2 linked regions of the Rattus norvegicus genome follow. The protein of the gene in region 2 interacts with the protein of the main gene of each other region in a biochemical or structural test. Links are inferred from orthologs where the notes say so. Each region holds a gene or a part of one and is shown on either strand. Other genes may lie near its edges.

Region 1 (11,880 bases), on a different chromosome or scaffold from region 2:
GAGGTCCACTGAGTGCCGCAGGACGCCATGCCGGGTCTGGGTCTGTGCCCCACGCTGCACACGCACTGCCACCATCGAGCCATGGCCCAGTGACAGGATGGCTGTGTCGCCTTCCTTGATCAGCTCCTCGTATGCCACGAAACTCATGGTGTTAACATTTGCCAAGAATCAGGGACCTGGAGAAGTGGTGTGTGGGCGTCAGGTCAGAGGACCAGGAGGCAGGATGAAGATCTGTGGTCTGGATAGAGAGGTCTGTGGGGCCTGGGTTCTGAGCAGCGTTAGCTTAGTTAACTTGCTTAGGCAACCCAACAGAAGTGCACTCTAGTCTAACATATGGAGCCCTTCTGGAGAGCTCTGTTTTCAGAGGACACAAGAAAGAGTGCGCAGTGGCAGAAACCCAAGGATTCCCACACAGGAAGGACTAGAATATAGTCTTTTCTCCATCCCCCAGTGTGAAGGCGACGGCCTCTGACAGGCACTAGCACGGGGGAGAAGCCACCTCCGAGTCCGGATTCCCTGTAACCCCTTGCCCAGAGTCTCCACGGAGGGCTCCCGATAGCAGCGACGGCTGGCTTCCGGCCGAACAACACTGGACTTGCTAGCAAGCCCGGAGCGCCGCTCCAAGCTCGGAAACTTACGCAGCATAAACCGGCTCTCCGATCTACACGTGTCTCCGCCGCGGCCGCCGCACTTCCGGTGCTCTTTGATGACGTCAAACCAGCGCACGGGTTGCTGGGAGCCGCCGCGCTGTCCTTTGCGCGCTCCCAAAGGACGTTTCCTGGCTGGCGTCTCCGCGGCTGTGTTCTTGTGTGCACACTTGCGCGTTGCCCGAGAAACCCGAGCACTGTGCAAAATAAAAGTCCCCTGTTCGCCAGCAGCTTGTCCGCGTGCGGCCTTTTAGGGTTGCCCAGTGCACGAAGCTTCTGCCCGCGGGATACGCCTGACCCTAAAGCGCACTTTGACAACTATGCAACCCCAGGGCCTCCCTACTATGGCCCACCATGACATTTTGTCTTTGCAAACGGCTCTGAAACACCCTGCCTGGGCTCCAGGATAAATGCTAGAAAGTGGGACCGCAGGGCAAAGGGACGGGGGGGTCTAGGCAAAGACTTTGGCTAGGGCTGGCCCGAGTGTAGAAGTAGCGTTAGTCTGGAGTATTCTGCAAAAGTGGCCTAAGGCTAGGTCCTGCGTGAGGGGAAGGGGGCATAACGTCCCCTCCTAGGATCCCTGACATCTTGAGAGTATATGAAGCCTATGAAGTGGACTCACTAGTGCCCTGGGAGAGGGGCTGCTGGAAGCCAAGCGGATAGGACAAGCTGTAGTAGTGTTGTAAGGTCCTTGCCCTAGAAACTCAGGTGCCTGACTCCAGACCTCAGATTTCGGCCCTGGCTGACCTTAACAGAATAGCCCTGGAAGAACAGGCAATGAGGGGTTTTCTTGGTCACCCATTCTGTGAAGTTAAACTTTTACCTGAGACATCCAGCTGTATCCACGGCTGCACAACCCCTATCCCTAACAGGGTACTTCATTCCCTTGGTGGTGCACAGCCCAAGACACATCCTAATTGCTCCTCTGGAGAGTTAAGACTTTCCACTCCTCCTGAGGTTCCTCTTCCCCAGCTTCTCGGTGGCATGGAGACCAGGCCTTAGTACATCCCCACCAAACCTATGAGTTCAACCAGGGGGGTTTCCCTTGGTTCCAGTTACCCACTGCTGGCTTCCCAGTCCTTCCTGCGTACCTTCTGTAGTCCACCTTCTCAGAGCTATCCATCTGTCATGCCTCAGCTCAGCCTGGAGTCTTCTAGCAGAGCCAGCCTCCTTAAGACCCTAGCTGCTGAGGTGGGGGTGGGGAGATTTCCATGGGCAGTTTATACACTGACTTGTCCTAATAAAAACAGATGCTATCAGCAGTCAGCCAACTCTCATGTCACTGAACCCTTCCACCCCACAATTTTATGACCTCTTTACAGACGGGGAACAGAAGGTCAATTTGTCTAGCATCATACAGACAACATGGTTTAAGCAGGACTGAATTTTGCCTTTGAGACAGTCTCCCTATATAGCCTTGGCTGGTCTAGAACTCACTGTGTAGATCATGCTGGTCTCAGACTCAAGAGATCTGCCTGCCTCCGCTTACCAAATACTGTGTTTAAAGGTGTGGTCCACCCTGGCCTGAGAGATTGCAGTTCAAAGCCTAGTTTCAGAGAATTGATAAGACACTTGAGCAAGAACAGAGGCAGTTCCAGAGGAAAAGAAGCTGCGCCTTTTGGGTAGGCTGCTCCACCTGCACCTCTGTCAGGGCCTAGGCTGCCAAGAGGCCCCTTTGACTGGCACAGCCCTGCGGCACTGGGTCCTGCAGCCGCCACCTCTCTTCTAACCCCTGCCAACTTCCCCTTTGTGTTCCATGAGCAAGGGAGCAGAGAGGAAGAGCTGTACCCTGGGCACAGACTGACGGACTATGGATGGCCTCTGGGGAACCTGGAGCCCAGAGACCTGTTTCTCCACTTGCCCTGCGGAACTGGACCATGCTCTATGAATAAAAAAACCTAGGACTCCTTTGAGGCCCTTTCCTGCTCTGTGGTTAATGTATGACTTGGTGTGATTTCGAAGGAGATAGGACCGTAAATCTGAGGGATGATGTCATCCAGCTTCTTGCCTGGAAACTGCCAGACCAGCTACTGAGTTCTAAGGTTAGCAGCAGGTCCACAGTCAGGAACGCAGCTGGGTCAGCAGACCCTCAGCTTGCTCCCTTGCTCTGAAGGCCACCAGGACTTCCAAGCAACACCTCAGTGGGGGCCTCACGTTCATATTGTGATCTAAAGACTGTGAAAGGCCCCTTTACCTCCCTACTCTGCTGTCACCTCTACTGTAGCTGTCATATACTCTGCTCTCTGAATCTGCACAATGTCCCAAGCGTAGTCACCCTGGGACCACTGGGGGATATCTGGACTTCTGAGCCAGCACTTCTTTGTGTGTCTTCCTTTGTGTATCTGAAGTAGAGTGGGGCATAGGACAAAGGTCACAAGAGCCTGTTCCTGTGCTGGGTGTGGCTTACTGCTGGGATAGGCACCCCTGCCAGTCCTACCTTCTGTTCCTCACCTCACCTAGAATCCTGGTCTTGCCCTGGCACGGAGATGGGAAGGGGTAAGGAAGGAGAAAGAGCTAAGAAGCTGTAAATCCTGGAGGCAAAGAGGAAGCCCCAAACTCCCCTTCCCCACCCCCAGCCTAGATAACAAGTTCGCTTCCCATTTCTACAAACAGAAACTTGAGAACTAGGGCTCAAGCAGAGCCAGCTTCCCTGAGCAGGGTAGGGACTGGGTGGGCAGCTGCAGATTATTTCTGAGATGGGGAGGGGCTGCTGGGAGCATAGCACACACAGGCTGATGGTACACCTGTGGTCTAGCCAGAGACAAGAGCTCAGGGAGCCCAGGCTGGTCTTGAATTCCTAATCTTCCTTCCCCCCCCCCCCTTTTCTTTTTGAGACAAGGTTTCTCTATGTATCCCTGGATGCCCCAGAATTCACTATGTAGGCTAGGCCAGCTTTAAATGCCCAGATACACATCTGCCTCGTCTTCCAGACTCCTGGAATACCTTCTTATTGTGAGGTTTCATTGGCCTACAAAAAAGTGACTTGACCTGGGCATGGTGGCTCCATCCTATAATATCAGAACTTAGGATGCTGAGACGGGAAGAGCCTGGTCTATGGACTCTTGTCTCAAAACACAGTAGACCAAGCTGAGCAAGAGACAGGAGCTCTGCAGGAGCTCTGGGGACAGAACAGTGGTGGCTTTTCATGCTCACCCAGGCAGAGGCAGGCAGGCAGGCTTTCTGCCCTGAGTTCTTTACTCTGCCACTCTACCCAGGCACCGGCACATTCTCTCGAAGCCTTGAATTCTAGTCATGCCTCTCTGTTTGCTCAGGGCAGCCTGCTTCCACAGAAAGGCAGGTCCCTAAGCCTCTTGGGCACTTCCATCCATCTTTATTCCATCCAGTCCCTCACGTGTGGCTGGAGGTGCAGGAGGAGCAGCCTCCCCCAAAAGGTGTCTTCAGCTTCTTTTCCTCTGGGGCTTAAGTGTGCTCTCAGTTCTCTGAAGCTAGGCTTTGAACTGCAATCCCTCAGGGCAGGGTGGACCACGTCTTTAAGTCCAGAATTGGGTAAGGAGAGGCAGGCAGATCTCTGAGGCCTGTAGGGTCTACATGGTGAGGTCCAGGACTATAGAGCCTGTCAAAGACAAACGACTGAAGATATTCTGTCTAACACACAAACCCAGAAATGGCTGAGAGGCTGTGAGTAGACAATAAACAGGAAAGTATAGATATTGATTTTTTTTTTGAGACAACGTTTCTCTGGAACAGAGGCCTGGCTGTCCTGGATTCTCTTTGTACACCAGGTTGGCCTCAAACTCATAGAGATCCTCCTGCCTCTGCCTGGGATTGAAGGGGTATGCCAGCATGCCCGGCCTCACCTCTGTTTGCGTCTGTACACTTTTCTACCTATGGCCATCCCCTCATGAGCATCAAGGTCTAATCCAAGCGTGTCTTTCTCTCCCTCTGCACGGTTCCTGATCTATTCGTAGAGAAGGGACGCCGTCTTTCTATAGGCTGGATTCCTAGAAGTGAGATTGCTAGGTCATGGAACAATTTTAAAAATTTTAATAAGTACTGCTAAACTACTTTCCAGAGAAGATGAAACTGCTGGCAGCTGGAGGCAGGGTGTGAACGCCTGTGTTCACACATTCCAATTCACAGCCGGCACTGGCTGTGGTCAAATTCCAGGTTTCCCCGTACCTGCGTGTGTGGGACACGGGGTGGGGGAAAGAGACTCTTTCAATCTGGTGGATCTGATTAATGAGCTTATTTTTGACTGGTGCTTCCTCCACCCCCAGTTTGCCTGCCGTAGGTACTGTCTTTGTAGGTGGGGTGGTAGAAACCGGTCCCTCAGGAAAGAACCTGGGGATTTGAAGATTCAAAAACAGTCTCTAGGAGCTCAGTGTCTTGAATTTTTCAGGGTCCGGGTCCAAGGGTCTTGGCTAGGTTCCTTAGGGCCCGCCCAAGGTCAGAACACCCTGGGTGCTTCCGGGCGGGACCGCAGCCAGACTGCGCCTCTGGTGTTGCACCAAGAACACCCAGGAGATGCCCGCAGGCACCTTGAGGAAGGTCAGCTCCCCTGTACCGTTTTGTACCGCCTGGATGCAGTGGATGGAAGCCGTACCCCATGCTAAAAACCTGGTATCTCTTGCCATGACCCCCTCAACACTGCTGTCGGCCTGACAAGGCAGGAAGCAGGGAAGGCAGGAACCTCAAGTGCTAACTGGCTTTCCAGACTCAGTTTCCTGCCCCGAGGCAGTGTGTGTGAAGCAGGTCTAGGGTATCTACGGTCCTGGGATTTCGTCTTCGAGATCCTGAGCGAGCGCCACGGGGTTGACCAAACTGCGCAGCGGGGTCGAGACTTGGGGACCCATGGGGTGGGCCGCTGGGGGTGTCGAGGGTTGTTGCCTCGGACAAAGCGGCGGCACCACCCCAAAGCGCGGGCCAATGGAATGAATGGGCTATAAATAGCCGCCAATGGGAGGCCGGCGACGCGCCCCTTAAGAGCTCAGGGAGCAGCGAGCGGCCGTCGTTCTTCTGCGCTGCGCCCGGAGCTGCAAGCACAAGCAGTCTGCGTTCCTGCTCCGTCCGGAATCCCGGTGAGCGGGTCGGAGGGTGAGGGGCTAGTCCTGAGGGGCGCTACGCGGTTGGGTGCATCACGCGCAGCTCGTTGCCCGGAGCGCGTCCCGGACCCGCCGGGGAACTTGGGATGCGCCGGACTCAAAAGATGCAGACCTCGCTGACCTTGGTGACGTCCGAGGAAAGCTTCGGGGGTCCGGATTGGTCTGCAGGTCTCTGGAGACCGGTGTGTAAAGCTCCTCTGACCCCGCTCTTCCCCGCAGCCTGCCGCCGCCGCCGCCGCCATGCCCTTCTCCAACAGCCACAACACGCAGAAGCTGCGCTTCCCGGCCGAGGATGAATTCCCTGATCTGAGCAGCCACAACAACCATATGGCCAAGGTGCTGACCCCCGAGCTGTACGCGGAGCTCCGTGCCAAGTGCACGCCGAGCGGCTTTACGTTGGACGACGCCATCCAGACTGGCGTAGACAATCCGGGTATGCACACCCTTGTAGCGTCAGGCTTTCGTCTCCCCAACAAGCCCCCCGGGCAAGGATCCCACTGCTCTTCCCTGAACCCTCGGCGGGGTGGGGTCTCCTGGTCCTCTCTGCGCTTAGCCATAAGGGCCTCAGTGCCTTGCTCTAGCTTGGCGCTGACGTCACTGTCGCCGCGCCCCTCCTCCAGGCCACCCGTACATCATGACAGTGGGTGCAGTGGCGGGCGACGAGGAGAGTTACGACGTATTCAAGGACCTTTTCGACCCCATCATCGAGGACCGGCACGGCGGCTACCAGCCCAGTGATGAGCACAAGACTGACCTCAACCCAGACAACCTGCAGGTGCGGGGCGTCAGGGTCCGGGCGTGCTGGGGAGAGGGGGTCTCGGCGCTCACTCCGGCCACTGCCTTGCATCCCTAGGGCGGCGATGACCTGGACCCCAACTACGTGCTGAGCTCGCGGGTGCGCACAGGCCGAAGCATCCGCGGCTTCTGCCTCCCCCCTCACTGCAGCCGTGGGGAGCGCCGCGCCATCGAGAAGCTGGCAGTAGAAGGTAGGGTCCGGTATCAGCCACCAGAGCTGCTGCGTTCTTGTCTGGGCGCGCGCGCATTCCCCCAGGGGTCTGAGGGTGGAAGACCCAACTAAGACAGCGGGGACACTGCCGCGGGCGGGGTGGCGAGCTTTCTAGCTCGCCCACCCACCCACCGGGTCCTTGAACTCTGTACTCCGCAGCCCTGTCCAGCCTAGATGGCGACCTGTCTGGCAGGTACTATGCGCTCAAGAGCATGACCGAGGCGGAGCAGCAGCAGCTCATTGACGACCACTTCCTCTTCGACAAGCCTGTGTCGCCTCTGCTGCTGGCCTCCGGCATGGCCCGCGACTGGCCGGATGCTCGCGGCATTTGGTACGAGCCCTCTTCCCTCACAGTCCCCGGAAGGTGGGGCACGGCCTGAATTCGTAGATTGTGCGTTACCACACTGTGCGCAGGTGACCTTGGTTCTGCGGATGACTGAGGTCCCTGCGCCGCGGGAGGCCGCAGTCTCCAGGGATTCAAGGGTGGTGACCAGTTTCTTTGGCGTCTGTTCTCCGCCCTCCTCCTGGGAGCCGGCGCTTCTTGTTTTCTCTCCTCCTTCTCACCCCCTTATTCCGCCGGGATTCTGCCAGGTGCCAGTGACGCAAAAGCCTCCGCACCCGTCCGGGCAGGGCTCCTACCCCTGCAGACTGCGCGGGCGGAGGCGTGCTTCCTCTGGTGGGCTGCTCTGGCTGCTCCAGCCCCTTGCGGGCCACGCAGCACATGACTGGTGATTGAGGTGCCCTGGTCTCCCTGCCTTCGAGTGTTGCTGGGTGGGCGTCTTAGAGACAGCCCACACTCCTGCACTTGGAAAGCGCTTTGGAGGTCACCCACCTAGGGCGTCCTGCTGGGTGTGACCTAACTAAGGCTGTAGACTTTGACTTTGGTCTGCCCGACCCCCTCCTCCAGGCACAATGACAATAAGACGTTCCTGGTGTGGATCAACGAGGAGGACCACCTGCGGGTTATCTCCATGCAGAAAGGGGGCAACATGAAGGAAGTTTTCACGCGATTCTGCACTGGCCTCACTCAGGTCTGGCCTGGTGCTAAGGAGGGAGGGGGTCGGGGGGATTTGAGTCCACATTTCCCAGGGTGCTTGGGGCTTCCAGCTACATTTTCCCTTAACTTTCCCTTCACCTTCAGATTGAAACTCTCTTCAAGTCTAAGAACTATGAGTTCATGTGGAACCCTCACCTGGGCTACATCCTCACGTGCCCATCCAACCTGGGCACTGGGCTTCGGGCAGGCGTGCACATCAAGCTGCCCCACCTGGGAAAGCACGAGAAGTTCTCGGAGGTGCTCAAGCGACTGCGGCTTCAGAAGCGAGGCACAGGTGAGGGGCAGACGACTCAGGTGAAGCAGCAAACGCGGCTTTCCCCAGCCCTGCTGACCTGCCTGTCTCCCATCCCCAGGTGGTGTGGACACCGCTGCTGTGGGTGGAGTTTTTGATGTCTCCAACGCTGACCGCCTGGGCTTCTCGGAGGTGGAGCTGGTGCAGATGGTGGTGGACGGAGTGAAGCTACTCATTGAGATGGAGCAGCGGCTTGAGCAGGGTCAGCCCATTGACGACCTCATGCCTGCCCAGAAGTGAAGCCTGGCCCTAGCCACCACCAGGCTGCCGCTTCCTAACTTATTACCCGGGCAGTGCCCGCCATGCATCCTTGATGTTTGCCGCCTGGCGGCTGAGCCCTTAGCCTCGCTGTAGAGACTTCTGTCGCCCTGGGTAGAGTTTATTTTTCTGATGGCTAAGCTGTTGCAGACACTGAAATAAATTAGGGTTTGGCCTGCCCTATGTCTGAGTGTTGCTTCTCCTTTCTTAGAGACAGTCGTGTGTGTGTGTGTGTGTGTGTGTGTGTGTGTGTGTGTGTGTGTGTGTGTCCATCCGTCCTTCCTGGCCTGTCACTTCACCTAGCAGATGAAACATGAGTCTTAAGATACAGGGCAGAGGGAGGGAGACTTGAGTGCAGCCTGAACATCTAAGGACATTTGTACTTGCAGGGTGGAGCCTAGTATTTCCTTAGCTCCAGCCAGCTAAAGGGAGTCAGCAACTTGACATCTTCCCCAGTTTCTTTCTGCCGCATTCCTGGCAGCCTGAATATCTAAAGTTCTATCTCTTCACTTCCTTCCCCTCCAGGCTTCAACACTTACTCCAGTTCTTAAATAATTCTCTCCCTACTTCCTCCAGCTTCCAACCCCAGGTTGAGGTGCCTCCTCCTGATCCCTCAGCCCAGCTCTCCAGCCCCATCCAGACAAGAGCTTTTCAGAACCACCCGTCCCTCTCTTGCAGCTTCCTCTCTGGGGCCCTGGTGGTTGGGAGGAGACAAGCTTTTGCTTCCACTTCTAGCTTCTGTGCCACGTCATCTAGGAGACAGGACAGTAGTTGGAGGGGCTTTGCTGTGACCTGTCTGAACAGGTCAAAGGGGAGACATTCCAAGGCTCACATCAGGGGGCCTGGGCACAAAGGCTTGGCTGCTTTTCATGGTGGCTTATCCTGGTTGGGCCTCATGAAAAGATCTGGCCCACATTTGAAAGCTGAGAAAGGGAAAAACGTCAACCAGGGGCTGGAACTGCAGTTCCCCGCCCCCACAGTGAGTCTTCCAAGAAAACAGTCTTGTGCTGCCCCCTGCTGGTCAGGCACACCACAGGCTTCACGGATGATCGCCCCAGACTTGATACCCAGACCCAGTAGATGGGGAGGCAGCACTGAGCTGTGGGCTACAGAGGTGTGTCCTGGTGTTGCTTCAAAGGGCAGACTCCAGTTATGGGCTCATCTAGGTGGTGTCTAGGTTGGGGAAACTCGAGTGAGGACTTACCTGTAGAACGCTGTCAGAACGCATCTCACTGGGTGGACTGGGCTATATAGGACAGGCTCCCTAGAAGGACAGAGAGGGGTCAGGGATCTCTGCATCTCTTTTTTTTTTGTTTGTTTGTTTGTTTTTTTTTTTCGGAGCTGGGGACCGAACCCAGGGCCTTGCGCTTCCTAGGCAAGCGCTCTACCACTGAACTAAATCCCCAACCCCGATCTCTGCATCTCTTAGTGTCCTGGGATAGCACTCTCTTCTGTCTTCAGTCTCCTCACATGTCCTAACAGGTTTGCAGCTAGCACTTCTGTCAGGGAGATCTGGGGCCCCGCGAGACAGGGGTATGGATGAGACCGTTCCCTCAGCTTTGTCTTCCAGTCAGTGGGGTTCTGCCAGCCACACTTGTAGACTTCAGTCTGGTGGCAAAAAGTAGTCCTTCAGCTGGGCAGTGCGAGCATATGCCTTTAGGAAGGCAGAGCTCTGAGCTCAAGGCCAGCCTGAGCTATAGAGCAAGTTCCAGGACAGAACAGAACTTCAAAGAAAAACCCTGTCTTGAAAAACGGGGGAGGGGGAGCTTTAGAACTATCTCCATAAAAAAGGGAAGTGAGTCTCTGACAGGGAAGGACAAGAGAGGGACAGTAGGTACAGTACACCCTAAACCCTCCATCTGCTGTTACACATCAAAAGACCTGATGACAGGAGGCAGGACATGGGACCCCTGTAATGGTGAGGGTTCCTGCCTGTCTTCTTATAACTGCCTCAGGCCTGTTAAGTTCATTCTTGGAATACCAACTTTTCTTCTTATGGAAGAAGTCCAGACGGCCCTGCTCTGTCTTTGGATCTGAGATTCAAATGAGTGTGTTGAGCTTGGCTTTTGTGGTGGGCACAGAGAGGAAGGAGCTGTGCTCATTGGGAGTGGGGGTGGAGGCAAATCTCCCTGGGACAGTCTGACCACACTAAGTCTGATTTCTTACCAGGAGCAGCCAAAGGAGGGTTTCACCTTGGAGCTACCAACATTGGGGTGGTCCAATGATAGAGGTGGGTATTCTGTCCTCCAAGACACCAACCTACCATACTAATAAAAACCCCAGCCCTCTTCACCCTGGGGCGGGTAGAATTTCTAGATGCTGACCCTGGAAGACCACTATCCAAAAACAAGGAAATACAACTGCTTAGAGAAGGAAAGAACTGGTCAGGACCATTTACTTGGGGGGGTGGGGGGAGACAGAGAGACAGAGAGAGACAGAGAGTGCGAGCGAGTTTGGCCAACCCCACCCCTCCTACTTCATGCAAGCAAATTTCACACTCAGTGCTGTGAAGACAGGCTGAGAAAGCAAGCACGGGTTATAAAACAGCTTGCACTGAGATCCCACACAGATTATTATGTATGGACAAACCCCCAGAGCCTTCTGCCTGTGGGTGGAAACAGGTGATTTCCTTCTTTATACTTCTCTTTCCGAATTTCTTCCAGTGAGCATGTATTGCTTATATAAGGCAATGTTTTTGGCCATGTTGAGGGTCAAACTCAGGGTTCTGCACATGCTAGGTAAGTGCTTGATCTTAGCTGCATTCCCAGTCTTCCCTATGTACCTGAGGATGAACGTGAAATCCTCCTGCCTCCACCAACCGGCGGCTGGGATTGTGGATGTGTACTGTCTCACCCTGTTTCTGCAGTGCAGGGTTTAGGATTAAACCAAGGGCTTTGTACTAGTCAGTGCTGGGCTACACAGCCTTGGCCCTGTCCCAGTAAAACTGGAACTGTTTTTCTTCTTTCTTCTATTTATATTTTAAGAATTTAATGTGTCACGGCTGGTGGGAGTCCATTAAGGCAGTAGCAAGAAGGCATCCACTGCTAACCTCCTCTGTGATGGGGAAACTGAGGCTCAGAGAGGAAAGCCTAACTCTAGGTCAAGCCTAACCCAGGCCTGGGTGATTCCTCTGCTCTAACTTCTGGGGCTTTCAGGGCTCTTGAGGGGTGGGTCTAGCTTCTCCCAATGGTAGCTTAGAAGGCTGCAATTGCCCACAGGGTTCCTTACACAGCACTTCTATTTCTGACCCAGCCTGGTACTTAGCAAGCCTCCTGATGCCTGAGGCAGCTAGACATTATACCCACAGGGATTCAAGTTAAATCTTTCCCACTGGCCAAAAGGAGAGTCATCCTACTAATGTAGTGGGTGACAGCCAGGGAAGCAAGGCTTTTTGGTCAGCTGGGACTCTGGTCTGTGTCTTTACTCTGACCCAGAGCAGGGGCTCTGGCTGAGGCTCAGGAGTCCTGACTACCACACCTTGGCCAATACAGTCCCTACCTACTTAAAGGCTGGACAATAGCTGGGCATGGTAACACACGACTTTAACAGGACAGAAG
Region 2 (11,148 bases):
CTAATCCCAGCACTTGGGAAGCAGGGGCAGGTGGATCTCTGTGAGTTCTAGACTACCGAGTCAGAGGACAGTTAGCACCACACAGAGAAACCCTGTCTCAACTACCCCCACTCCTCCCTCAAAAGAAGTGAAGCTTAAAAAAAAACAAAACAAAACAAAGCTAGGACTCAGGTCCTCAATTTCCTTTTGTACAAGTCAACAGTGAAGGTCTCCAAGGCAGCAATTACTCAGTTCTCTGCTTTAAGAGGGAGAGTCCGCTCACGGTCCTGGGCGGCTGAAGGTGCGCACACCCATTTGCTGCGAAGCTCCTGTGAAGCCAGACCATGGATCTTCCAGGGAACTGCAACTAGGACAAACCTGGATCCAAACCATGGCTCTGCTATTTACTAGTAGTTAGTAACCTTGTAACTTGACTTCCTGACAGAGAACACTACGATGGTGACAGAGCAAATCTCACAGCTGTGATGATGCAGGGGAATGACTGGACAGAGGCTTGTCACTTGGAACTTATTGAATGAGGACCTCAGATGTAAAATTCACCCACAACTTAGTTTTACACAAGTCAGCCAGTGCCAGCAGGGTGGACCATGAAGTCAGTCCTAGCATTACTACCGCTAATGGAGGGCAGATCTTCCTACAAAGTTAGTTCCAGGTTAGCCAAAGTTACATAGCAAGACCTTGTCTCAAAACTAAACAAAATGAGACAAACAATGTCCTGAGCTCAACTCTTAGCACCATATAGACCTTCCATGGTGATGCGACTCTGGACTCGCAGCACTGTGGAGGCACGGGGAGACCAGAGATGTTCAAGATAATCCTTGGCTATGCTTTGAATCTGAAGCCAGTCTGAGCTAAATGAGATCTTGTCAAAAAATATAAAAAGATAATAAATTTAAAATGTAAAAGTTAGCTAAAAAAAGTTCAAAACAGAAAGATGAAAAGTGTTGGGCTGCGGAGATGGCTCAGTGGTTAAGAGCACCCGACTGCTCTCCCAGAGGTCCTGAGTTCAATTCCCAGCAACCACATGGTGGCTCACAACCATCTGTAATGGGATCTGATGCCCTCTTCTGGCACGTAGGCAGAACATATTAAATAAATAAATGTTTAAAAAAAAGAGAGGAAAAAAGTGTTGAAGTCAAAACGGTAGACAGTGTCTTGGCCATGAGTACAGCATACACCTAACATATTCCCCAGGAATCTGCCACTTCCTTGCCCCCAGAGTCTGTTCATTTGCCAAAACTACCTGGGCACAAACCTGGCTACCTAGAGCTGTACTCTTCTGGACAGATAGTCCAACTCTCCCAGTCCTGTCCTCACAGACAGCAACAGGCTCTTTGGAGGAAGACGGGCCCTGCACCCAGGACTGCTCGGCATCCCCTCTCTTACCAGAAGACCTCGTTGCACCGATTGCACTGCACTCGGCGAGCTCTCGGCTCCTGTACCCGAATAACCATGGGGCAGTCTGCACCAGGGCACAGCTGGAGCTGGTAATGACTCTGTAAACACAGCGAAGGAAATGATGAAGCGATCGGCTAACGGTTGCACCTCAGACGGACTGCTCAAGTGCCTCTGTACTCCAACTGATGGCTTACATCAAAGGGCTAAACATGTTTAGGGTAGATGTTGTGAAAAATAGATATTAACTAATTATTACAGAGAATATTTCTTTAGCTTAAAACAAGGAGCTGGGTTGATGATTTAGCTCAGTGGTAGAGCGCTTGCCTAGCAAGCGCAAGGCCCTGGGTTCGGTCCCCAGCTCCAAAAAAAAACAAAAAAAAAAAAAAAAAAACCAAAAAAACAAGGAGCTACTAACTCCTTGTTATTTTATAAGTGTGCCTGTAGGCTGGAAAAGACATGTTTGTCTATAGCTCCGGATACTTAGCTACTTGGAAAACTAAGGCAGGAGAACTGCTTGAGCCCAGAGAGTTTAATCAAGGAGATCTGGGTCAACCAGGGAGAAGAGGTCTCAGGAAGAACATGTTTGGATGTGGGTTGGATGGTAACACAGTTCCGTTACCCGTGCATCTGACAGCTCAAGGACTCAGAGACGCTCAATAATCTATCCATGGTAACAAATTATACAAAGCAAAAGGCCTTGTGTTTATCCTGCATTTCTGCAAGACAACGACCAATCCAATAGCTTTTAAACGAAGTCATAACAAAGGTGGAAATTGCACTGTGTAGAATCTGCAAAACTGGGCAGGTGGCCTAAAACAGAACCAACCATGCTGGTATCCTGAAGAAGTTTTCAAATTGTTAAAACCCAAACAAAACAGCCCTTCTCTGGGCTGAATTGTACTGAAAAACAAATGGAGTAGCAACCCTTGAGCTAGGTCTGACCTGTGCTCACCCCTGAACCAAGATGGCTTGCTCAGCTTGCTCAGTTGTCTGTGTCTGCTGGACGACAGGGATGCCTGTCCACTCACGGCAGTGGAAACCAAGATTCAGGTAAACTAACGAGCAAGTGGTCTCACAACGAGGAAGCAACAGATCTTGGATTCACACAGCATTTTTTCAGAGCACAAGGTCTTTATCACAGTTTTTTAAATTAAATTATGTGTCTAGTATAGGGATGAGGAGGTATGTGTGGATGCATGCAGGTGCCTAGAAAGGCCAGAAGAAGGTGTCGAGATCCCCTGTGGCTGGAGTTACAGACACAGGACACGAGTACTGAGAACTAACAAGATCCTTCCTCTTCAAGACTCTAAAGTACTGAGCCTTTTCTCCAGCCCCAAGAGCTATGTGATTTACCACCAGCTGGGACTATACTGCATATGGTAGCCTCAGGAAGAGAGAGGGCAAAAGAACAGGGCCATTCATACCTCCACATAGTCCCTAAAGAGGTAGCGCCTGTATTTATCTCTCAACTCTTCGTTGGGAAGCAAGGGAAACACAAAGTCCTCTGGTGTTCGAAGCGGACAATCCTGAGCCATACATGAGATTCCTGTTGAACAAAGATAAAAGTGATGGCGGCCATACTGTCTTCTACACCCCCTTTACAGTACAATATACTTATCCTCCATGTTCCACCAACAAATTCTAATTCCATATAGGAAATTCTCTGTTCAAAATAGTTATCAAAGCTAGCACCTTTAATCCCAGAGGCAGGTTAATCTCTGTGAGCCGGCCTGGTCTACAAAGTGAGTCCATGATAGGCATGGCTGTTACACAGAGAAACAGTGCCTCAAAAAACTACAAAACAAGAAAAAACAAGAACTTATGCAAAGAGAGAAATTAACATGTTTTCATAATAATGTAATTACGATAGATATTGGGCTCAATTACCCAAATATCATTATAAGCACCACTAAATAAAATTAAAATGTTAGAGGTAGTGGCTCATGTCTCTAACCCCAGCACTGGGGAAGCAGAGGCAGAGTTTAAGGAGAGCCTGGTTTACATGAGATCCAGGTCAGCCAACGCTACATGGGGAGTCCTGTCTTAAACAACAACAACAACAACAAATTATAGACTTAGTGATTAATACGACTAATGATTTTGTTTTATTATGTACATGAAATTATTACTAGTATACTCATATTTTGGTGTTTCCTTTTGTTGGAGGGGAAGCAGAATACTACTATTTCATATAGTCCAAACTAGCCTTAAGCTTGCCATGTAGCTGAAGGAGGCCTTGAACTCCTGATGCTTCTGCTTCTACCTCCAAATGTTGAGCTAACAGTGTGCCACCTTGCCTAGGTTAATGTCCTGAGATTCTGCAGATAGCAACGAACATTGCTCTTAGTATTATCAAGTGAGGGGCAACAAATACTCCTGCACCACATAATCAAATCTGATAAAGGTTACATTGCCCCAAAGCAGTAGCTGGAATCAAGGCATGGTAGGCAGCTAAAGGACAGCTCCCTCAGCATCCTACCCTCCTCACCCCCTTACAGTTAGGAGCTTCTTTTTATGAGGTCTCGGCTGCCCTGGAACTGAATCTGTAGACCAGGCTGGTCTCCAATTCAGAAATCAGCCTGTCTGATTATTGGGGATTAAAGGTGTGCACCACCAATGATTAACAAAGGATGGTTCTCGTAAAAATGACATAAAATCATTTTGTACCCACACCAATATTTCTAAAACCTTTAATTTTCTCATTTTACTGGAGACTACAGAAAACTGTATTATTTAGATCTGTTAATCTTACAAGAAATGTTTACTTAAGTATATGAAAACAGACTGAAAGACAAATATTTTAAGGCTGGAGAGATGGCTTGGCAGTTAAGAGCACTGGTTGCTCTAACAGAGGACTGGGTTTATGCCCAGCACCACATGGTGGTCACTGTCACCTATCACTTAGTCCCAGGGACCCTATGCTCTCCTCTGACCTCTGCAGGCACTAAACACACATGGTATACACAGAGTTACATGCAGACAAAATACTTAATACATTATATGCATAAAATCGAATAAATAAATAAATGTTTTTCAAAAGACCTTTTTTGTGAGAGCTATATTTATTTTCAGTGCAGACTCACCTACACCGACACCATCTTTGACGAGGACTGAGCAATGTTGCTCCCAACAGCTTCGGCAAAACTGATGCTGGCAGGTCAGAGAGAGCAGGTTTTCCTTCCGCACAAACTGCATACACACTGCACAGTGGTGAGGGGGGTGGGCTGTGGGGACCTGGAGTGGGAGGGGAAGAGCAGGAAAAGGAGAACAAACACCACATAAGGTTCCCAAAAGCTGAACTGTAAAGGTCCTCACAGTCCACACTACAGTTTGCCAAGGGCAGTGGTTTTCCCACAAAAACATGCTCAAATCACAAAACAGATTAGCTATGAGGGTTTTCTGTCTTTGTTAAAGAGCTGAGTTAGGTTCCCAATACACATATGGCAGCCCGCCCGTACCCATCTGCAATCGCAGATCCAGGGGTTCTAATGTTTTCTGCTGGCCTCATACACACTAGGCATCCATGTAGTACTACACATGCATTCTCATAAGACAAACATTCATGCCTTTAATCACAGCACTCAGAAAGCAAAGGCAGGCCCAGCAGATCTGAGTTTCAAGCAAAGCCTTGTGTATATGTTAAATAAAAAACAAAAAAAAAAAAAAATTGGGGGTGGGGATTAGGAGCAAACTAAGGATTGTGGACATTCTATACAGCACCAAACAAGGCTGGTGCTGACACTGTGAGTCACAGAGAAAGCCATGAACACTCAAATACAGCTAGCCGCTCACTCTAGTTGGAGACACTCACGTGTTTGGATGGATTAGGTTGAACTCGCGCCTCAACAAGCAGCTGAGCAGAATTAGACCTGTACCTGGAAAACAAAAGGCAAAACAGAGAATCACATTGGAAGACATTTTTAACTTTCAATGACAGAACAGATCATCAGGTGTTGTGGTTACATCAAAGTGTATTTTACCTTGTCAGCATAATGGTATGTGTCTACAACCCTAGCACTCAGCAAATGTGAGGCCATAGCATGTTTGAGGTTTTCTCTGATAGTTTCTTTATTGAACCAAATTTCCTTTAACTCAATACATTCTTTTCTTTGGAAGCTGGGCAGAGGCAAGAGGTTGGAGACAGGGTCTTTACTTTGCAGCCCTGGCTATTCTGCAACGCTCACAGATCTGTCTGTCTCTGCCTTTTGAGTACGAGATTGGAGGGGTATGCCACAATGCTCACTTGCTCCGTTTGGTTTTTAACATTTATCTTATATGTATGAAAATGTTGCTTGCACGTATGTTTATATACAATCTGCATGTCTGGTGCCAAGCAGGCCAGGAGAGGGCACTGAAGTCTTTGAGACTAGAGTTATATGTAGCTACATACAGTTACATGTAGCTACATACAGTTACATGTAGTTGCCAGGTGGTGCTAGGGAACTGGATCTGAGTCCTCAACAAGAGCACTAAGGACTCTTAACCACTGAACACATCTCCAGCCCTCAAAACCGTTTTCTGAGAGAGAAGGTAGCTAAGGAGAGAGTATAAAATGCAGACACGCTAAATAGGAAGCAGAATGTGTACAGCATAATTTTGTTTATAAAGTTGTGAAATCATACAAATAGAAGATACTTAATTTTTAAAAAGAGATTTATTTTATGTATGTGAGTTCACTGTTGATCTCTTCAGACACACCAGAAGAAAGACATTGGATGCCATTACAGGGGGTTGTGAGCCACTGCGTAACTGGTTGCTGGGAATTCAGGACTTTTGGGAATTCAGGACTTTTGGGAGAATGGGACTGAGCCATCTCAAGTCCCCCAGAAGATACATAATTTAAGAGTAAAATAAGAAGCATGGGATAAGCAAAGAGCTCACTTAGCAGAGTGTCTGCGTCATGCACAAGGTGTGATGCCCTGCACTGCATGAACCTTGTGGCACATGTATGCACATGTATGCACAAGAGGAGGAGACAGGAGGACCTACCATGCCCATTTGAAGCTATTCCTGGTCTGTCAGAGACCTGAGGAAGCCACTGCTACTGACACGTAGTAGGTAAAGCCCAGAGGAGCTGCCAGATTTCCTATAGTTTACATAGTAGCACCACATCACCAAAGAATTGTCCACTCCAGCCAAGTCTCATGGCATAGATCTGTATTCCCAGCTACTTCAGATACAGCAGCAGGCAGATCCCAACAGGGTACCTAGACAACTTAGCAAAATCATATTTCAAAATAAGGGGTAAACTGGGGCTGGGGGTGTGGCTCAGTGGGCAAGCGCTTGCTTAGTCCATCGAAGTGTTAAAGGCAGGTACCCACACCCAACCATTTCTCAACTTTTTTGGTGTTATGGGGAATGGTCTATTCCACACAAACACAGAAGATTAAACGTAAATCTGCTGCCAAACAACAGAGGTTTAAAAAGTATGAAGACACCTGTATAGTAACAAATACTATCCCAGCATTAAAACTGAAATAGAAGAGTATGCTGAGAGGTAAGAGAATATAATATGCTCAAAGAAAAGGATATAAAATATCCCTTTGAGCAATTGTGTGTGCATGAGAACACACCCCACAATGTCAAGAACAATCACAGTGGGTTGGGCAGACACTGACGGATGCTATGGACTCATCTTTCCACTGAACATCTTGCCTATGTCCAGGATATATGCTGGCTAGTTTTTATGTTAATTTAACAAAAGCCAGAAGTCACCTGAGAGGGGGAACCTTGACTGAGAAAATGCTTCCCTAAGATCAGGCTATAGGCTGCTACTATGGTAATATAATCTTTTGATCTCAGGGCTTAGAGGTAGAGACAGGCACATCTCCTTGAGTTCAAGGCCAGCCTGGTCTACACAGAAAATTCAAGGACAGTCAGAGCTAGATAATGGTTGTCAAAAAAAAAAAAAAAAAAAGATTTTGGAGGCTCAAGCAGTTAAGAGTACTGACTGTTCTTCCAGAGGACCTGAGTTCAATTCCCAGCAACCACACAGGCTATAACAGGGATATGGCTCAGTGGGAAATCACTTGCTTAGTCCATCGAAAGTGTGGACATAAATCTTAAAAACAAAACAAAAAGTCCAAAAGATCAGACTGTAGCAGCCTGGAGGGTATTTTCTTTTTTTTTTCTTTTTTCTTTTTTTTCGGAGCTGGGGACCGAACCCAGGGCCTTGTGCTCGCTAGGCAAGCGCTCTTCCGCAGAGCTAAATCCCCAACCCCTGGAGGAGGTTATTTTCTTAATCAGTGACTGATGGGGTGGGACACAGCCCACTGTGGGTGGTGACTCTCCTGGGCTTCAAGAAACCAGGCTGAGTAAAATCACAGTGGACAGGCAGAGAAGGATGCTATAGGCAATTTCACCTCCTTTCCCCTGAATATCTTACCTGTCCAGAATCTCTGAGACTTGCCAGTGGAAATTAACTAATATAAGCTTTGCAACTGAATGAGATACCTGTAAGAAACAACAACAAAAAACCAACAAACTTTAAGTGTGGTCTCTCACAGTGTTCTATCATTTGAGAAATCACCACTATGCTAGTTTCACATTCTTTTCTTTCATTGTATGTTTTTGTCTTTTAAGTTAAATTTCTTATATTAGTTATTTTATACATCTCTTGATCTTTGTTTTCATTCATGTTTTCTTAGAAACTCTCCCTGGAAACTGAAGCAAAACCATCCTTCTCTGTAGTAATTAAAAATGTGATATCCAACGTTAAGCAAAAGAGCTTCCCAGCTGGGCTCCTGAATGTGAGTAAAGTTCTCAAACACTGCTCTACAAGGCCACACCCACAGAGTGCTTCTAGATAGGGCCAGCAGCATATCTCCAGGCATTTGATTTATATTCTGTCAACAACAAAATGAATTTAAGGTCAGATGTGGTAGCATATAATTTTAATCTCAGCAGGCAAACCTCTTCTGAGTTCAAGACAGAGTCTGAAAACCAAGTTTCAGGCAGCCGGGGGTACAGTGAGACCCTGAGCTATCTGCATGCACAAAGCCAAAAATGCCTTTTATCTCAGGAGACGGAGACAGGCAAATTTCTGCTGTACACAGACAGTGCCAGGCCCTGTACACAGTGAGACTCTAAATTACAGTCAGTTTATTGTTTTTAAGACAGAGTTTCTCGGGGCTGGGGATTTAGCTCAGTGGTAGAGCGCTTACCTAGGAAGCGCAAGGCCCTGGGTTCGATCCCCAGCTCCGAAAAAAAGAACCAAAAAAAAAAAAAAAAAAAAAAAAAAAAAAAAAAAAAAAGACAGAGTTTCTCTATGTAGCTAGACCCGGTTGTCCTGAAACTCGTTCTATAGACCAGGCTGGCCTCAAACTCAGAGACTGCCTATATCTGCCTCCTAAAGACTGAGATTAAAGGCATGGACCACCACACTTACCTTAAAAAACAGTTTTAAACGTCCAAATTCACAAAATTCAACAAGTCTTAATTGCTAAACATTTAAAGGGTTGTAGACTGTTTTCTGGTCTTTACACATGGCTCTGACTATTAAAGAGCCTCAAAAGATGACAAAAAGTTAATGTAAATTCTTCCTAAGGAAATGAGAGGATACATGTACCACTAGGTTATTAAGATATTAAAAATAACGTATATGCCCAAGAAAAGTGAGCCTGATAAATATGTAACAGATTCATGCAATGAACAGCAATGAACTTATTGAAAAGAATGCTACAGTTATGGATATAAAACAGGTTTACTTTGGGGGGATAGTCTCATATAACCTAGGCTGACCTCAAACTTGCTTTATAGCTACCAATGATCTTTAACTTCTAATCCTCCTGCTTTCACTTCCTCAACTCTGGGATCACAGATGTGTGCCACCATGTCCAGTTTATGCTCAGAGCTTTGTACATAACGGTCAAGCTCAACCAACTGAGCTTCAGAGAAGCTTACATTTCAGTATTAGGTTAAAGAAGAAAGTAGCAATAAAGCATTCGATTCATAGGGGCCATGATATCTTATTACATGGAAAATAAATTAGTTGAAAACATCTTAAGCATCAAGACTAGGGTGGGAGCCAAAAGGTTGGGGTGTGTTTGGAGGCCTAGATCAGGCAGGCTTCCCAGAGAAAGCAGAGGACAGCATGAGGATGCCACTGAGAATACGAAAGGCCAGTAGATACCTCAGGATGCAGACACTGCTCTGATCTGGCGCTGAGTCTACAAACAGCAGCTACCTGTACCGTAGTGCCTACCTGGTTCCCAGAAAACTTTAACAGGAAGACAATTACCAACATGTAATCCCCAGCTCTGGGGTACAAGCCATCCCTGAGACTAAATAATGCATATCCTAGCGTGACGTCATTATCAAAGGCCGTTCAATTAGCGACTGCCTTCCTTCCTGTCCCACAGGCCAAATACATCTGGAGAAATCCAGGGAAAATCTCACACGGGGCAGAAGTTCTGACTACCTTCCATGAAAGATGAAGACCACATATGCTGCTAAACAATTTTCTTACTGAGGCCCACGGAGACTTAAGGCAAAGGTCCCTAAATCACGAATAGTAATGTCTTTTAACTGTTGCCATAATTCATCTCAACAGATTAAGTAATAAACCAGTTATTTTCTTTAAATTTTAGCAGATGCATAAATACAGCTATTTATTGATTGACTGATAAGGTCTTTTTGGCAGAGAACTTTCTATGTAGAGCAGGCTGGTTTAGACATCCACCTGCCTCTGCCCTCGGAGTACTTGCACTAAAGATGTGTGCCACCATGCTGGATTTTTTTTCCCCTTAGAAGCTCTCAGTATGGAGCTATGTGTAGTTCATGCTGGTTCAAGCTTGTGGTCCTTTTTGCCTTGGCCACCATGTGCTAGGATTATAGTGTGTTCCATAATGTTGACTCTACAAATACTTTTATTTTTAATGCATATGAGTTTGTATGTGTTAGGTTTGAGGGAGTGCAGGTACCACAGTGCACAGTGGTGCTAGCGGACAACGTTGTAGAAGTACATCCTTCTCCTGGCTGGAGCCTTGTCTTTGCTGTCTGATGCACTCAGTCTCCCTTGTGCCCATCCTGTCCTTCCTTTCTTCTTTCAGCCCTTTTGTTTATTTCTTTTTGAGATAGGCTGTAACTACATAGAGCACTCCGCTTTAGCCTCCTGAGTGTTGAAGACTGATGTGCAACCTCACTGGGCCACACCAACTGCTTCTTACTCTTTTTTTTCTTCTTTTCTTTTCTTTTCTTTTCTTTTTTTTTTTGCTAGTAGCCAAAGATGGGCCACCATACCCAGCTGTTCTGATTTCTATGTATCTTATAGTAGGCCTGGGCCCCATAAACACATTAAAATCACTACAGATGATTTAGGTGGAATCTTTAAGCTAAGAACAGGGGTCAGGGCTGCCCTCCTCAATTCCATAAAGCCCACACAATTGGTTTAGAAATAGATCTCCATTCCATGATGGTGACTAGTTACTATTTCACTACCCACTCAGAGGTGACATGATGACCTCAGGTGTCAGTCCCATCTGTCTCCCATTTTTCTGAGAGATCTTTTGTGTTTGTATCTTAGTACAGCAGGCTAGCTGGCTGTCACAAGATTCTTTAGATTCCTCTCCCTCACCTGGGTATCTGAATATGAGATTTCAGCTATGAGCTACCGTTCATATAGTTTGGGGATTTGAACTAGGGTTTTACCCACTTAACTTGGTCCCTGTGAAACTGTTATTAACCTGTGGCTTGACTGCTCTTTCTTTTCTTCCTCCCTTCCTTTTGTTTTTCTTCGAGATAGGAATTCTC

What was found.
Region 1: of the proteins of Arih2 (region 2) and Ckb, one has a biochemical effect on the other in vitro, tested with the Homo sapiens proteins (2 studies listed by BioGRID). The link is inferred for Rattus norvegicus from reciprocal best matches to the Homo sapiens genes ARIH2 and CKB.

The regions. Positions count from the first base shown.
Region 1 is NC_086024.1:136,547,209-136,559,088, reverse strand, and holds Ckb (creatine kinase B-type), read left to right. Parts: upstream 1-5,624; 5' UTR 5,625-5,686; intron 5,687-5,929; 5' UTR 5,930-5,950; coding exon 5,951-6,143; intron 6,144-6,330; coding exon 6,331-6,485; intron 6,486-6,563; coding exon 6,564-6,696; intron 6,697-6,875; coding exon 6,876-7,047; intron 7,048-7,623; coding exon 7,624-7,747; intron 7,748-7,857; coding exon 7,858-8,047; intron 8,048-8,126; coding exon 8,127-8,305; 3' UTR 8,306-8,506; downstream 8,507-11,880. Other genes in the region: tRNA (adenine(58)-N(1))-methyltransferase catalytic subunit TRMT61A, read right to left, coding at 1-147. UniProt on the Homo sapiens protein: Reversibly catalyzes the transfer of phosphate between ATP and various phosphogens (e.g. creatine phosphate).
Region 2 is NC_086026.1:118,185,133-118,196,280, forward strand, and holds part of Arih2 (E3 ubiquitin-protein ligase ARIH2), read right to left. Parts: intron 7,852-11,148; coding exon 7,784-7,851; intron 5,274-7,783; coding exon 5,210-5,273; intron 4,633-5,209; coding exon 4,482-4,632; intron 2,945-4,481; coding exon 2,823-2,944; intron 1,497-2,822; coding exon 1,387-1,496; intron 1-1,386.